Rattus norvegicus: one gene and its partners. The protein of the gene in region 2 interacts with the protein of the main gene of each other region in a biochemical or structural test. Links are inferred from orthologs where the notes say so. Each region holds a gene or a part of one and is shown on either strand. Other genes may lie near its edges.

Evidence for each region. The genes of interacting proteins can lie anywhere in the genome.
Region 1: the proteins of Lox (region 2) and Eln form a complex in vitro, tested with the Homo sapiens proteins (2 studies listed by BioGRID and IntAct). The link is inferred for Rattus norvegicus from reciprocal best matches to the Homo sapiens genes LOX and ELN.
Region 3: the proteins of Lox (region 2) and Efemp2 form a complex in vitro, tested with the Homo sapiens proteins (2 studies listed by IntAct, with this or other methods). The link is inferred for Rattus norvegicus from reciprocal best matches to the Homo sapiens genes LOX and EFEMP2.

What each region holds. Positions count from the first base shown.
Region 1 is NC_086030.1:27,603,203-27,608,852, reverse strand, and holds the start of Eln (elastin precursor), read right to left. Parts: upstream 3,827-5,650; 5' UTR 3,822-3,826; coding exon 3,737-3,821; exon of another isoform or gene 3,669-3,736; intron 3,419-3,668; exon of another isoform or gene 437-3,418; intron 1-436. UniProt on the Homo sapiens protein: Major structural protein of tissues such as aorta and nuchal ligament, which must expand rapidly and recover completely.
Region 2 is NC_086036.1:48,171,823-48,177,223, forward strand, and holds the start of Lox (protein-lysine 6-oxidase precursor), read right to left. Parts: upstream 3,819-5,401; 5' UTR 3,547-3,818; coding exon 2,934-3,546; intron 2,614-2,933; coding exon 2,505-2,613; intron 1,273-2,504; coding exon 1,135-1,272; intron 1-1,134. UniProt on the Homo sapiens protein: Responsible for the post-translational oxidative deamination of peptidyl lysine residues in precursors to fibrous collagen and elastin. Regulator of Ras expression. May play a role in tumor suppression. Plays a role in the aortic wall architecture.
Region 3 is NC_086019.1:212,210,134-212,215,547, forward strand, and holds the start of Efemp2 (EGF-containing fibulin-like extracellular matrix protein 2 isoform 1 precursor), read left to right. Parts: upstream 1-1,588; 5' UTR 1,589-1,685; exon of another isoform or gene 1,686-1,915; coding exon of another isoform or gene 1,916-1,981; coding exon 1,982-2,092; intron 2,093-2,322; coding exon 2,323-2,371; intron 2,372-3,010; coding exon 3,011-3,217; intron 3,218-4,440; coding exon 4,441-4,563; intron 4,564-4,803; coding exon 4,804-4,920; intron 4,921-5,031; coding exon 5,032-5,151; intron 5,152-5,414. UniProt on the Homo sapiens protein: Plays a crucial role in elastic fiber formation in tissue, and in the formation of ultrastructural connections between elastic laminae and smooth muscle cells in the aorta, therefore participates in terminal differentiation and maturation of smooth muscle cell (SMC) and in the mechanical properties and wall integrity maintenance of the aorta.

The DNA of each region.
Region 1 (5,650 bases), on a different chromosome or scaffold from region 2:
AGCCAGAGCTATATATTTGAGACCCTAAAACAAAGGTGTGTTTTAACCTTAGAAAATTAGAGCCATGTTCAGTGGCTCACAGCTGTGATCCCAGCATTCAGGAAGTTCAAGGTCTCTCTCAGCTACTTAGTGATTTCGAGACCATCTAGGGCTATATGAAACCCTGTGTCAACAAGACAAAACAAACACACAAACAAAATACAAAAAGAAAGAAAAAGAAAAAAATCTACCTTAGGGATTGGGCATACAGCTCAGAGGTAGAAGGGTTGCCTAGAGCACCAAGGCCATGGGTTCAGTCCCCAGCACCACAAGTAAACAATAATAAATAATGAAAAAAACCTCAGACAAATCAAAGACAGGAACAAATTACAAAGACTATCAGCCCCTTACCACACTGTAAGAGAAAATTTACAATTTCCCCATCTCCTGGTCATCTCAGTGGATATATTTTTATATTATATTATCATATTATCATCTCAGCAGCAGCTATCAAGTGGCTACTGTTCCCCTTGCCCCCAAAGCCCGCTGATTCTTAGGGGCTGGGCCCTAAAATGTAGGAATATTTCTTCTTTTTTTTTTTCAGCCAGGGAAACCAGAGTCAGCCGGATGAGGCGCCTTAGCCTGGTATCTACATTTGACCTTGGATTTGCTGCCAGGAGGTTCAAAGACCACAGGGAGCGGGGCCAACGGGCCCTGGCAGGGGGCTCTGCCAAGCCAGAGCTCAGAGGGGCAGCCTGGATTGAGCAGATAAAACCTCACCGAGCTGTTTGTTGCGTGCACAGAGCAGACCGCCAGGCGCTTTTCAAAAGCCACCGCGCTCCTGTGTGTGGGTGAACTGTCCCTTGCTCCAGCAAGACACACAGAGCAGGATCAAGGGACTAAATCCTTGGCTGTGCATCAGAGGCACCTGGGGAGCTGTTAGAGCCCAACTCCCTCAATCGAGATCCTCCACAGATCAAATAAAGGAAAACCTCGTGGGTCACACACTGACCCGGGCAACCGTCATGCCCATCAGGGTGGAAATCTCCTGAGATAAACCTTCAGGGAATGAACCAGGGGAGGGATATTGAAAACATTTCTGGTGTCAGGGAGAGCACTGAACTTTTATGTCTAATGTGCCCCTCCCTTAACGCTATTTTCGAAGAAGGGGGTTCATGTAGCCCAGGCTAGCCTATAATTCACTACATAGATGATACCTTAAACTCCTGATCCTCCTGTCTCTACACCTCCAAAATGCTAAGATAGGCAAAAGACAGGCATGCTGTCATGCCTGATTTTTTTTTCTTCTGGTGACCTTTTACTTTATTTTGGTTTGAGGGTGGGTGGGTGGGTGGGCATAGAGTCCCATTACATAGCAGAGGCTGCCTTGGAACTCACTCTGTAGCATAATTCCTGAGCCGTCATGCCTACCTAGCTCATATAACCCTTTTAACATAGGGGCTGAAGCAAGCCCGAATTCAAAGGAAATGCTATTATTACCCTCATCAGAGTCAAGAAACGGTTACCTGTGACATGTTCCTCTTGGGGAAGACTAGGCTCCCCTAGGACCAGATAGGTGGGGGACTAGGTATACATGACCAGTGGCCAACTCCTCCCAAAACTCTGACCTCTTTGACTTCAGCAGACTCTGAACAGATCTTGAAAGACATCAATTCGCTTGCCTCCTACTTGAACCCGGTGACTCTGGCCACCTGGGACAGAGCTGAGATTTCTCTTCACAGGGAATGATGGCAGTTGAATATGGAGTGATATCACCCAGGCTACACGGGGAGGGGTTGTTCCATCTTTTAAGAAAGACTCCGCCCCAGGGCTGTCTCTCCCCAATATTCCCTGGCATCTCCCCTACTCCATTTTTTTTTTTTTTTGGACCCAGGGTAGAAAGCCAGCTGATATCAACCTCCACGGATGGCCTTAGCCTATCTCAGGCTCTATTTCTGTACCTTTTAAGAAAGGGGCTCGTGAAGCCCAGGCTAGCCTCGGAACTCCCTATACAGCTAAGCATGACCTCAAATTCCTGACTTCTTTGCTCCCATCTCCTGAGAGCCGGGACCACAGGTGTGAGCCACTGCCTCTGGTTTATGTGGTGCTAGGGATGGAATACGGAACTCCGAGCACGCTAGAGGAGTACTGTATTAGCCAAGCCAAATCTTCTTGTAGATCTCACTCTATAGCTTAGGCTGCCCCTCCAACTTGATAGCATGGTCCATCAGGTGTGGCTTTTCATGCCTGGCTTCAGCCTATTTGTAAAGACGAACAGTTTCTTTATGTTGAAGGAGTGTAACCATCTGGGGAGGAGGGTGCACAGATGTCAGGAGACACATCTGGGGCGGGAGGGTCAGGTGACACTGCTCTTAACTACTGGCTTGCGGCCACTGCAGGGTCCTTCTGCTGCTACCCACAACCCTCAGTCTTGTCTGAGCCCAGGAACTCTTGTCCTACAGTGGGCTTCGAGCCCCAGCAGAGGCTCTTCCCTCCCATTCAGCCTCGGACCACAGCCCTGTCCCGCCGCCCGCCCTGCAGCTCCAGTCCCCAGTTCAAGTTCAGGTTCCCACGACAATGAGGTCTCTTACGGAAACCAGACCCCAGCAGATGGTTCACAGGCTCACACATCTTTCCCCACAGCCGGATGCACCTTCCGTCTGGGAGCAGTCTCCTTCCTCCCCCATAACCTAATGTGCCTGGTCAGGACACATATCAGATGGCCAAAACGATAACTTGAGGCTCAGTGTAGCCTCTGATACCCGCCATGCCCTGTTTGTCAGGAGATGGGCACTTTCCCCAGCTCACTCCCTGGCCTGTATTCCACCTTGGCAATCCCTCGTACAGGCATGGACTCGCACATGCTCACACACACCTGGGCACCAACACACACAGTGACATCCTACACCTGGGCCCCAGATTTCTTCAGGATTTTTTTTTTTTTTGAGATAGCCTGATGTAGCCCAAATGGCCTCGAACTCACTACGCAGCCAACGATGCCTTGAATTCCTGATCATCCGATGACCATTACACAGGTATGCGTCACCACGCCCACCTAGTTTGCTCAGAGGCTCAAGAATGTTTAGCATGCCCTCCATCAACGGAGACATCCTCCCTCAACTCTCTTAGTTGTTCTTGAGATGGGGTCTGGTTGGCTTTAAACTTACATGCTGGGGCTCACAGGTGTGATCCCATCAGACAACTTCACAGTTGCCTCCCTCCACCACCATCTGTCTAGGAATGGACTTGTGAACAGACCTTCAAACCTTTCCAGACACTCTTCTTTCAGGAACATCCTTGGCCAGAAGCTCACATTGACACCTTGCAACATGATCTGAAACACACACACACACACACACACACACACACACACACACACACACACGGAATCCCACCATCTCCAAGCAAAGACAAACCAAGATTGTCTCTCCACAGGCTGGTAGGTACACAGGTGTGCACAGGTGTGCAAACTGCCACCACCACTGGGAAAGCACTCAGGTGACTCAGACGACCAGCCTGACTGGCGGAGTGTAGCTTTGACAGGACCCCTAACACGGAGCTGGCTCCCAAGAGGAGACAGTTCCCAGGACCCTCCCTGCCTTGAAGAGGGCGGCGGGTGGGGGGAATCTGGAGGCGAAGGGCTCATCGATCTCTGGGATTCCCCATCAGTCTTGCCACCTGGTCGGCAGGGTCCCGAAGGTTGTGGATAGCGTGGGACCAGCGAGGGGCAGCATGGGACCGGCGAGGGGCCCCTTACCTCCAGGCTGCGCGGGATGGAGGAGGTTGAGCAAGAGGATCAGCAAGACGCCAGGCTGCGGGACTGCCGCTGTCAGACCCGCCATCTCGGGGAGGACTGCCCCAGCCTGCTCTCTGCGCCTCGTTTTATCCCCAAAGCGTAATTGCTGCCTGGTAGGCTGCTGTGAGGGAAGGAGGGAGGGAGAGAGGGCGGGTGGGAGGAGGGCGGGAGGAGGGGGAGCTGGGGGAGGGGGCCGCGAGGGAGGGGGCAATTACGAAAGGCCAGGCTCGCAAGCCTCCTAGCCTGAATCTGCCTGGACCATGGGTCTATTTTCCTGCACCCCCCCCCCCCACACACACACTGACGGGCGCGCGTGCACTGCTTTCCCCCCCCATTGCTTTCCCGCTTTCCCTCTGTAGCTGTTTGCTTGCTCCTGGCCCTGTTCCCGCCAGAAAGTGCGAGGGGGCCTTTGCCAGGACAGCCCTCTGGAGAGGAAGCAGGAGGGAGGGCCCAGGCAGTCCAGCCAAAAAATCCCAGCCCTAGCCAAGGCTGGAGTAGCCAGGTCCCCGCCCCTCAGCCTGGGCCCCAGGCCCAGTGTGGGGACACAGGCCAGCTGTCCCGCGCCTCAGCTCCCACCCTGGCCTGCAGACACCCCGACACCCCCAAGCCTGGCTAGAGACAGACTAACCAAAACTGGGTTGGGTAGGTTGATGGAGCTAAGGGAGCCTGCCTATAGAGTTCAAGATCTGCAGGCAAAATTGTCTGGGAGAAAAAAATCGGATGGGCATAGCATCATGGGGCATTTTAGGGACAGACTAAGGACCTTGACATACGATCTAGTTCATTGCGGTTGAGACCAGGTCTTAGCCATCTGTTTGAAGCCAGGGAAAGGGTGTTGGATAAGTCTAGGGTCTATGGTTGCAGAGACCAAGGGGCTGAGGTCAAGCGAGTGGCTTGGGAGTGAAAGCCATGTATTTAGTGTCTCCCTAGGGCTCAAAGATGATCCTTGCATAAGGTGTTGGTTGATTCTGTACGGGCCAACGGGCACAGCTTTGCACCACCCCTGAGCAAACCACGGTGTCCAACGGAGGTCATACTGGGTCCTAGGTGCCTGGTAGGGAACACGGAGGTGGGATCCCTGTCTATTAACTCAGTATTCTAGTTCACCACCTGTCCAATGCTCTCACATCTGGAAACCGATTTTCCCGGCGGCTCTGGGAAGGCTTGAGGATGCTATTCCTCTGCTGGCCAGCAGGGGGCAGCCTTTGCTGAACCAGCAGAGACAGCCCTCCAGGAAAGCTTGCAATCAGTGCCCTGGCCACCCTGTCCCTGAGCATATGGGGACCCTGGGAGGCTCTAGGGAATGTGATAGGGTGGGAAGATTATGTCATTCTCAGACTCCTGCATGTATGCAAGAAATGTGGGGTACTGGAGGACAGGAGAGGGAGATGGTTGTTTGCTGTATACAGGTCATAGTTGGTTAGAGGAAAAAGTCGAGGCCATAGGTCCTGGAGCTTTTCTCCTGCAGGAGGTGATACAGAGGGGTGAGTTAAAGATGTCTTGTCCAGTACAGGGCGTAGAGGAGTCTATAAAGTTGACAGTGTTGGCCGGGTTGGGGATGGGGTGGGAGAGCAAAGGCTGGTGGCTTAGGTAGAGCCTGGCTAATTTTTGGATACCCTGTGTCTTTTCCTCCTCCTCTTCTTCCTCCTCCTCCTCATCCTCTTCTCATCCTCTTCCTCCTCCTCCTCCCCCTCTTCCTCCTCCTCTTCTTCCTTCTCCTCTTCCTCTTCCTCCTCCTCCTTGTTATCCTCCTTCTCCCCCTTCTCTCTCCTTCCCATCCTCTTTCATTTCCTCTCTCCTTCCATTTATTTCTTCCCTCATAATTCCTTCTATTCTTTCCTTTCTCCCCTTCCTGTCTTTCTCTTCATTCCTTCC
Region 2 (5,401 bases):
TTGTGTAGCTCTTGCTGTCCTAGAACATAACTCTGTAGAGTCTTGAACTCAGAGGTCTGCCTGTCCCTGCCAGCCAAGTGCTGGAAATAAAGGCAGGTACTATCATGCCTGGCTCCCAAGTTTATCTTCTTAAAGAGCTATTCATGCCACATGCTTTTAAAAGAGCATTGCAAGCTTTTAACTTTACTGTAAAGATACAGTGGTATCTGTTCCTTTATACAGGGTTCACATTTGAACATTAAATGTAGACAATTGATTCTCTGTGCTTATAACCTGTGCAGTTTCTAGTATATTTCTCTGTCTGCCACTGCTGGTATTGGTGATGTGATGATGATTTCAAACAAATACCATACTCTGGAGGGCTTGCTATGAGATTCAAAAAACTAGAGTTGCAACATTTGTTAAGTCTCTTTGGAAACACCAAGGGGGAGCAACAGCATGCTCTTCTATCTCTATTGTTTAAGTAGCACAAACTTTTATTTTGAAATAAAATATTTCTATTTTCATATGTAAATTATGTGGCTAAAGTCCACTTTTCTCTATTCCTTAAATAGAAGGCTCTGAGCTCTTGTTCTTCTTGTGTGAGGGAGGAGCTACAAGGAGAATGGGTTTGAATTTCTGTAAGTGGGAGACCGCACATCATGATTTCCTGGTATTGACTACTTGAGTACATTACCTAGGCAAGTGATGGCATAACCACATGTAATTTAAAAATTAAAACCATTACATTTAGAAAGGGTAGGGCAGCCACTCTGGGGCTGATGCGGGCTTTTCAAAAGATAGATGTGAATTGGGTCCTGAAATCTATCTTTCATTGGACATGGTCTATAAATTCTTTAGGTAAAAGATGCCATGCTTTTATTAAATGCCTTTTAAGGCTAACCAACTGCAGATGATCTTGCCTATAGTGGATACTTTAACATAAGAGTAAATTCTATTGGCAGCCATTCTCTGTCCTTTCAATAGTTTTAACTATTGAGCGTGACTTACAGTTTCCGACTGAAAAGACAATGGGGATGGAATTTAGTGGTGAATGGGGCTATCTTAGGGTTTAACATTCTTAGCTTCAGGTATGACTAATCATCTGGAAAATTTAAGAGCATCCCAGAAGTACTGAGGTGCCCATCCACTTACTGGTGGCAGCTGTGCCACTCCCAGGAGTAGCGGGGGCGGCTTGGTAAGAAGTCAGACGTCCCTTGGTTTTTCACTCTCTGAGGAAATCGTAGCAGTACCCTGTGGTCATAGTCTCTGACATCCGCCCTATATGCTGAACTGTGAGTTTAGAGAAGAGCCATTAGATCCACTGAACATGGATGCAACACAAAATAGGAAGAACAGCTCGCTGTCACGTGTTCCTGGCATTCCCCTTCCCCAACTAGCCTCTTAAGTCAAGGAGCAGATCCTGAGCTCCAGTCCTGGAAGAATAAACACATCGCAACTATCTGGTGCATGAGTGAATGAAGGATAACAGTAAAAGCCCAGATAGACTGAGACTAAGATTTATCCTAAAAAGATTGTAGAGCAGAGACTCTGCATCTAAAAACTGTAAAATGGCTATAGTAATGACCCCATGCAAAAAAGATCCATAGGTGTCTATTAATTACTTGATGTGTCTATGATATAAAGTGGAGAAATATTCTAAAACAAGACACCTAGCTTTAGGTGGATAACTTTATACTGGACAACTACCAAACTGAGGGTGCTCCTTAGTATCTTTTCGGCATTCAGTGGTGTGTATCGTGCCATAAGGAACGCAAAAGAGCTTGAATTTCTCTCCTTGGCCCGACGGTAGTAAAAAAATCAACATGGAAGGTTCGTATAAACACCCCTGTACCATTACTATATTTTTATAGCTCTGTTAGTGACCCATTTTACTTAGCCAACTACCAGAACCATGCAAATAGCTTGTGCTCCCCCTGCTGGTGGCCAGCCGCAGAATCAGAGAATTCCAAGACCAGAATAGATATTTTATTTTAGGATTGACGGAAAACAAAACTATTGCCTGTGGTCTTATACCAAAACAACCCAGTTAATCACGGCCTGAAAGAAGTGTGGAATGTTTTTTTAACCAATCGAGGCGGGGGGCACCGTGTCGAATACACTTCTAGAGCATTAGAGAATAATAAGTGCTTCCTCCAACCCCCCCCAAACCCGATCCCCACTCCCGACACACACACTGTGTTGTTGAATTTCTGTTTTATATAAAGTTATTGGAGGTAGTTGGCGCTAATGCCTAATAGGTATCTTGGGAAAGACCCTGAGACCCAGTCTCCAGAATAAGGGTTTTCTTCCCCCTCCCCCTATTTGTGACTCTCACTGAGGCGGTACCCATAAAAACATTCCAAATTAACTCGCTCTCCAAGTCAGCATGCCCAGGAGGTCACGTCCCACTTCCCAGCCCTTGTCCCACTTCCTAGTCCTTGTCTGCGCTGAATAGCAGAACAAACTAGGCACCAGAGTGATCCCAGGATCAAAACCTGGAACCGGGCTGTGGAAACACATACCTGGCCAGGCAGTTTTCTTCCGCAGCGCATCTCAGGTTGTACATAGACATCTTTTGTACGTACGTGGATGCCTGGATGTAGTAGGGATCGGGTACCAGGTCCGGGAGACCTAAGGATAAGACAAGCTGATGACCTCTGACTCCTAGACCCTTTTTGTCACCTTTCGCCCTTCAAGTCTGCAGGGTGGGGCTGAGTATGTGGAAGAGCAGGGAAAATTGGGGCTAGGAAGGAAAGGGAAAAGGAAGCTGTTGGAGCCAGGAGCGCGGTTTCCATCAAATTCCAGCGCTGGCGGGGCAGGATTGGGGGCGGGGGTGGTGGTGTTGAGTCTGCGGGACCGGATCCCGCCGCCGCGCCCAGACCGCCACGTCTAGACAGCACTGACCTGTGGCCAGGGTGGCGGGTACCTACCGCGGACCTAGGGGTTCTTACCGTACTGGAAGTAACCGGTGCCATATCCAGGTCGGTGCCTGCTCCCGGACCGGGGTCTCTCATAAGTGTCATAGTAGTTATAATAGGGGTTGTCGTCGGAGTACTTGTAGGGATTGTAGGGGTCGTCGCCCACCATGCGATCTACGTGGCTGGGTGGCCTCAGATTACTGAGCTGCGGAGGCTGTGGCGACGCAGTCCGGTTCGCTGCGCGCCTTGAGGCTCCATCGCCGGCCCCCGACGGCGAGAAACCAACTTGGAACCAGTGGCGGGCTGCGGGCCGGGGACGACCCGCGGCGACCCCAGATGGGCTTGGAGTCCTCGCACGGGCAGAGGCAGTGCGGTTGTCACGCAGCAGCAGAATGGGCGTGCGTGGCTGTGCTGCAGCGTTGCCGTCGGCTCTCGGGGCAGTGGCGCTGGAGTCGCGGCGTCGCTGAGGCTGGTACTGCGCCCCCAGGCTCAACAGACTGAACACCTGCCCGTTGTTCTCCCATTGGATTGTCTGGCGCCAGGCACCGGGGGCGGCGGGAGGCTCGCGCGGGGCCTGCGGGGCGCAGCGGAGAAGGGGACAGAACTGCAGCTGTCCCAGAAAGAGCACGGTCCAGGCGAAACGCATGATGCTCCCGGCTCGTCCCTTCTCGGGGAGGGACGTGGCTAGGAGAAAAATGAAGACAGGGACTCAGATCCCGCGAAGGAGGGAGACCTCTTCGAGCAGGGAGGAGGAGGGCGAGGCTCGGGGATGGGTCGCAGGGACTGGTGCCAAGGGCGAGCGGCAGACCCTGCCCCCAGCCCAGGAGGCCGTCGGACGTGGCACCGTCCTCCTCTCCCCTTTCCCAGTCCTGGAAGGCGACGGGGAGCGGCGCACGACGGTCCGGGAGAGCGCACAGTGTCTGAAGTAGAAGGAGGAGAGAGTTTAAACTTTCTGACAAGTTTGCAGTTACACAAGCCGTTCTGGCCCCGCTGCCCCTCTGCTATTTGTTCGCGTAATGCGATTGGAAACGTGCAAGGCGGACAGCTCCACCACTCTGCCCCTCCCTCCCCTCCCCGCCCCCTCCCCTCCTCCCCAGACACGTTGCACAGGGAGAGTTAAGGGGAAAGAACAAAACGGAACACACATCCTGAGACACACTCGACTTAATCTGGGCCGAACATGCAGGAATTTCAAAAGACTCAGACAGACGAAGGCAGCCAGGCCATGGGCCCAAGCCAAAATATGCATGAAGAAAAATGCTATTAGGTCACCAGCCCTGGAGAGGCGGGAAGCAGGAGGTGGGGAGAGCGATGAGGGCCAAAATGTGTGCGTTGGGATGGGGGAGGTTGTGACTAACGCTTATCCATAAAGGAGTTAACCAGACAAATTTCCCAATGCACACTCACCCCACTTTTATGGGAAGCGCCCTCAGCGAATAAACCCCAGGATATCAAATTTTGTTTTTCTGGCTGTAGGTAATATGAGAAATGGGTTACAAATCTGTTTCCTACAGTGAATATTTTAATAACCAAAGTGAAAATTTACAGGGAACAAAGCTTGCTACGTTGAAAAAGTGAGTAAAGCCGACTCCCCCCCCCACCTCCTTTATTTTGTCTTAAAAGAATCAGTCCAATTTGCACTTTAAGTGACAAGAATTCTTTCATCCCTACTGTGTACCAGAGAGCTAGCAGGGCAAGGCAGTGCTTAGAGGCCCCTTCAAGTAGATTTTTTTAATCTGACTTCTTGCTTTCTCTTGTGTCTAATAAGGAGGTTTGACTTCACATTTTAAAATCAAATTACTGATGTTAAATATTGAAATTCAATAAAGCCTCCAGCCGCTTTTAATTCATCTTCCAATCTAAACAGAGGTGTTGCAAGAGAAAAAGCCTTTGAATTCAGGGTTTAGCACAAAGAAAGCAGTGGGTGTGGCCAGGAGGCTGAGTAGGAGGGTAATCTGCAACTGCCATGCTTACTAGAGCAGCTGCTCACATCCTACTCAGGGTCTGGGAGGTTCTGGACTGAATTCAAAGGAAAAAAATGCTACCAAGTGGTCTGATTAGACTCCGAGGCAACGCCAGATTTTAGTATCCTTTTTTTTTTTTCGGTTCCATCATTGAGCTGCGGTCTAGACACACTTAATACTCACCTCAGGGACTCTGTCTTTCCATAAATGATCATCCCATGAGGTGGGGAGGTGGACATCTGTTGGTTTGACTGCCTCCCACCAATATCCTATATCCATTTCCCTTTTCTTTCTGTTTTTATATTTTTTAAAATTCTGCCTGGACCGCCTCAGACCCCTACTAGTATGGTCAGACTGAAAGGGCATTTGTGGGATTTCTTCACTTCAAGAACTGGCTGTGAGACCTGGGTTTGCCCTAATTAAATTGTCTTCCTAGGATCTGAATGTTAAGGTGGTCACACGGTCAAAACTATTCCTCCTCCCACTGCTAGAAAAAGAGACAAGTCTTGGGTCTTTAGCTTTTCCTCCAGACTTTCC
Region 3 (5,414 bases), on a different chromosome or scaffold from region 2:
TTAATAAAAAAAATTTTTTTTTCCAGAGCTGAGGACTGAACCCAGGGCTTTGCGCTTGCTAAAGCGCTCTACCACTGAGCTAAATCCCCAACCCCAATACAAATTTTCTAATCAAGATAATGGAAGTTGAGGAGATGGCTTACTGGGTAAAATGCTTGCTACACAGCATGAGGGTCTGGGTTCTGATCCCCAGCTCTACCATAAAGACCAGCTGTAGTGGTGATGCATGTCTGTAACCCCTAGAGGGTCAGGGAGGTGGGGACTGAGAGCACACTAGCCAGCCAACCAATCTATCTAAAATAGTAAGTTCCAGACTCAGTGACAAACCCTGTCTTTTTTTTTTTTTTTTTTTTTTTTTTTTTGACAAACACTGTCTTAGGGTGGAGAGCGATAGTCTCCATTAGTACATAGGCACACACGCACATACCACACACATTACCACTCAGACAATTAAATGAAATGAAGCAGAATTTTTATTTCCGTCACAGCAGAGCGGAACATGGTAGTGCACGCCTTTCATCCCAGAACCTAGGAGGCAGAGACAGGCAGATCTTTGTGAGTTCGAAGCCTCATCTACTTAGTGAGTTTCAGAACAGTCAGAGCTACAGTTTGAGACTCTGTCGCAAAAAGACAAAACAAAAACAAACAAAAAAAGATGGAAAGAGGTTGGGAAAGGGAAAGGAAGGAAGGAAGGCCGGGTTATTGCCGCTAGCGGTCTGGGCCAAGCACGGGAGCCCTGGACACGCAACCCTTTCCCGTCTAGACCCGCCCTGAGACGTGGGCAACGCGAAGTCCCGCCCATTTACCCCTTCCTGGGCGCCAGAGGCACCCAGACTCCGCCTCCAAGGCATGATCTCCGCTGGGGGCGGAGGCGGAAACTGGGTGGGGGACTTGGATGGGAAGAGGGTCGGGAAAGGGCTGGCACTGGGCCCTAGTGTCCTCCGCGACCAAGTTCAAGCTTGCCCGCCTTCTCAGGGGCTTCCATTCATTTCGGGCCAAGACTACTGCTGCCCTCGCCCCCATACTATTGTAGCGTTGCGCAGGCAGGGCTTGGGGAAGCAGTGCCCTGAGTAAAGAGACCACCTGGGGGTGGTGGAGGTGGATACAGAGGGAATTGGACAATTAATTGTATGCCTGGACGAGGATCAGGAAACCTTGGATGAAGTTTTAGGACCATCTAAGAGTGTAACACTGGATAAAATCCTGAAAGTGGTAGCATTTGGAGATCTGAGGATTAAATAAATGTTTGTTAGGTTCTGGGAAGCGCAGAATCCGGTTACACGGAGGTGCGAGTGCACAGAGGGATTCCGGAGGCACAGGTTAGATAGGGTTTAGGTGGACAGAATAATCATTTTGAGTGAGGGCCTGGGGTCCCCAGGTGAGTTTGGGTGCCAAGCATCAAGGTCAATGGTCTAAGGACCCAAACATTGGGAAACTGACTAGGCGTCCACAGGCGACTCCAGGCAGCGCCGCGGGGGACCGGGTGGGGGCCTGTGGCCGGCCGGGGCGGAGAAGCCGGGGGGTCGGGGTCCCTCCCCCTGGCGCGGGCTCAGGAATCCGCCGAAGGGCGGGCGGAGGCGCCGGGGTGGGCCGCGGCGGGCGGGCGGGGGGCGCTTCCTGGGGCCGCGCGTCCAGTGAGCTGCGCGGTCCGTCCGTCCGCCCGCAGGCACTGCTGGAGTCAACGCGTGAGTGGCCTCCAGCGGAGGGAGGGCGCGGGCCGTGTTGCGGCCGAGTATATGCTGCGCGGAGCGGAGAGGCCTGCGCTTCATGACTCGTGGGGCGGGGGCGGGGCGGTCCAAGATTGCGGCCCTGAGCCCCAGGCCTGCGAAGGGACTCGGTCCCCAGCCCTGGAAGGTTTCGGTGCTCCCAGAACAGTCCTGGGACGAGATAGCTGGGACCCAGCCTCCCCTTCCAGATGGAGGGAATGGGGGGTGTCGTGGCAGAAACCCCTGACTTCTGCCCACCCCCTCTCAGCCCCAGGATGCTCCCATTTGCCTCCTGCCTCCCCGGGTCTTTACTGCTCTGGGCGTTTCTGCTGTTGCTCTTGGGAGCAGCGTCCCCACAGGATTCCGAAGAGCCGGACAGCTACACGGTGGGGACCTTGGGGTCACCAGCTTGGGATGGGATGGGAAGGACAGCGAGTGAGGCAGGATCCTGGGGAGGCTGCTTCTGGGAATGATTCTCCCCTGCTTGGTTGGTGGAAAGCTGGAGGCCATTGTGTGGAGCTGACCTGAGCATGACTGAGCTCAAGCCCTGGTCTTGGCCTGGCTAGTTGGAGGAGACAGCCAGGGTGGTCACTGGCCACATCGGGTTCCCTTCCAGGAATGCACAGATGGCTATGAGTGGGATGCAGACAGCCAGCATTGCCGGGGTGAGTATGTCTGGGGTACTAGCCATCTTCAGGAACTGGGAAGGGGATTACTTCTGTTTCCCAGGGACACCTTATCTCCCAGAGCTGCAGCAGGAACTTGATGGCCTTCCCACTGTCCACCCTGGTAGCCAGCCATCTGGTAGGCAGCCATGCTTCTCTTGTGCCACTCAATTAGGAGCCCTACCCCTTCAAGAGGGTGAACAAACTCTGCCTCTGTCCTGCAGGAGGCAAGAGAGCACCTGGCTATTGCCCAGAAAGAAGGAAATACGTACACCTTCCCTGAACTGCACTGCACTCTCCCAGCCCAGCTCTATCCCAGTGCACCCTGGGAGGGCAGTACAAGCTCTGTGGGTCAGGAGGCCTGCAAATTACTCTTGGGCAAAGGTAGAGGCAGGGATTTGAAGAGAAACGGAAACTCACATGGAGGCAGGAGAATGGGGGTAACAGTGTGAAATAGGGGGCCACACACCCAGTCCTGCAAATGCCTGGGAGGGGTTCTGGGTCGGCAGCCTTTGCTGAGCAGAGAGAAAGCCTTGCTGTGTTGCTCAGTTTAGAGAAGGCCAAGTTGGGCTTCTGCCTCCCACTACCTCCAGGGCCAGCCCAGGTGACTGGCTGTGCCCAGCAGGCCCCTCTCTGCAGATGTCAATGAGTGCCTGACCATCCCCGAGGCTTGCAAGGGTGAAATGAAATGCATCAACCACTACGGGGGCTATTTGTGTCTGCCTCGCTCTGCTGCCGTCATCAGTGATCTCCACAGTGAAGGACCTCCACCACCAGCAGCCTCTGCTCAACACCCAAATCCTTGCCCTCCGGGCTATGAACCTGATGAACAGGAGAGCTGTGTGGGTAAGTGGGGGCCATGCTGGCACCTAGGCTTCCAGGCCTTTTATAAACTTTTTTTAAAAAAAACTAACTTTGGGGGTTGGGGATTTGGCTCAGTGTAGAGCGCTTGCCTAGCAAGCTCAAGGCCCTGGGTTCGATCCCCAGCTTCCAAAAAAAAAAAAAAAAAAAAAAAAGAATAGAAAAAAACACTAACTTTGTATTTACTGTTCAAAGTAATGTGTTTTATCATGGTGCCATCTCGGCATATATCATTCTTGTTTCTTTTAATCCTCCAGTAGAGTTATTTTAGTCCTCCTTAGTTTGTTTCTTTGTTTTTGATTTTTGAGAGAGGGTTTCTCTGTGTAGCCTTGGCCATCCTAGAACTCAGACTCAGAGATCCACCTGCCTCTGTACCCCACCATCCAGCTATGTACTTTGGGTTTTGAGATCGTTTCTGGATTTGATTCCTGGCACCACAAAAAAAACACAAAAAACAAGTGTGGTAGCGCACACCTGTAACCCACCAGTGGGGAGAGAGCAAAAAGATCCGAAAGTACAGGTTATCCTCAGCTGCGTAAGAACTTTTGAGGACCACCTGAGGCTGCCCGAGATCTTACCTCAAAACAATTAATTAACAAAATAATAAAGTAATTTTCCCTATTTAATACCCCAGACCTCATGCTCCTTCCGTCTGGCTGCTCAGAGAAATATCCAAGTTTTCATCTACTGCAGGCTCAGTGCATGGTCTGCAGGCCCAGGATGTCCCTAGCAGCCTCAGTTCCTGGACAGACATGTGAGAGCTCTGCTCCCAGCCTCTGCCAGCTTTTTGATCTGGAGTCAGGTCTGGGAGGAGGAGAGATCCTGGCCCTGCAGTCAGCTGCGGGGTATAAATGGACAGGGCTTTATTTGTCTGTTTACTTATGTATTTATTTTTAAGACAGTGTCTCACTCTGTAGCCCTAGCTACAACTAGCTTGGCACTCACAGAGGTCCTCTTGCCTCTCTTCCCCCGCAGTGGTGGAATTGAAGGTGTGTGCCACCAGTTCCCACAAGACCCTATTTTAGTATGTTCTCCTAATGGGTACTTTTCCTGGTAATTCCTTGGTGGACTCTTTTTTGGACTATTGGGATGATCTCAATTAAATGTTCATGATTTGATGCCAACTACCCATGTGCATGGGCCCCCTCCTCACACGGTCCTTAGCATATGGGGGACTCCAGGCAAAGGCTGAATGGTGTCTCCCACAGATGTGGATGAGTGTACCCAGGCTATACATGACTGTCGCCCTAGCCAGGACTGCCATAACCTTCCTGGCTCCTATCAGTGCACCTGCCCCGATGGTTACCGAAAAATTGGGCCCGAATGTGTAGGTGAGTTCGGTGGCTTTCCTAAGTTCCTGCTCTGTGACCTTGGTCTGCTTCTTGATCTAATACCTTACGTCACCCCAGCCCTCTGCTGCTGGTGCACTCCTGTCACCAGACCCACTAGACATGTGGGCGACTCAACTCAGCTCCCCGACAAAGGCAGGGGTGAACGTGGGTGCTGAGGTGAGCTGGCTCAGGCCCCACCTAGCTTGTGTTCTACTTTCCGTCTCCTGCCTCCCATCTCAGACATAGATGAGTGTCGCTACCGCTACTGCCAGCACCGATGCGTGAACCTGCCAGGCTCTTTCCGATGCCAGTGTGAGCCCGGCTTCCAGTTGGGACCTAACAACCGCTCTTGTGTGGGTGAGGCTGTGCCAGACCAGGTTCTGGGATCCTGGGTAGAGATGGGTGAGGTAGGGGCAGGATCTCCTTCCTGAGCCCAAGTCGAGTGGGTGTTTGTCCTTGCACCCTCAGATGTGAACGAGTGTGACATGGGAGCCCCGTGTGAGCAGCGCTGCTTCAACTCCTATGGGACCTTCCTGTGTCGCTGTAACCAGGGCTATGAGCTACACCGGGATGGCTTCTCCTGCAGTGGTGAGAGTCCACTTGTGCTACTGGATACTGCATTGGTACCCCCCCCCCCCCGCACTTGCAACGTATTGGACCAACTCCAGTCACACAGTCATTTGTTTGAGGCTTCGATGTCTCGCTCTCTGCACCCGCAGGCCTTCATGAACTCCATCTTGAGCTGGTTGTTTGGCACTCCCAGCTTGGGGGGTTGGTACGATAGGTGCTTCTGAAGCTTGCTGGAGAGACAGAGAGGGATGGAGGTGCCCGTCTTCCTGAAAGTTGAGTTG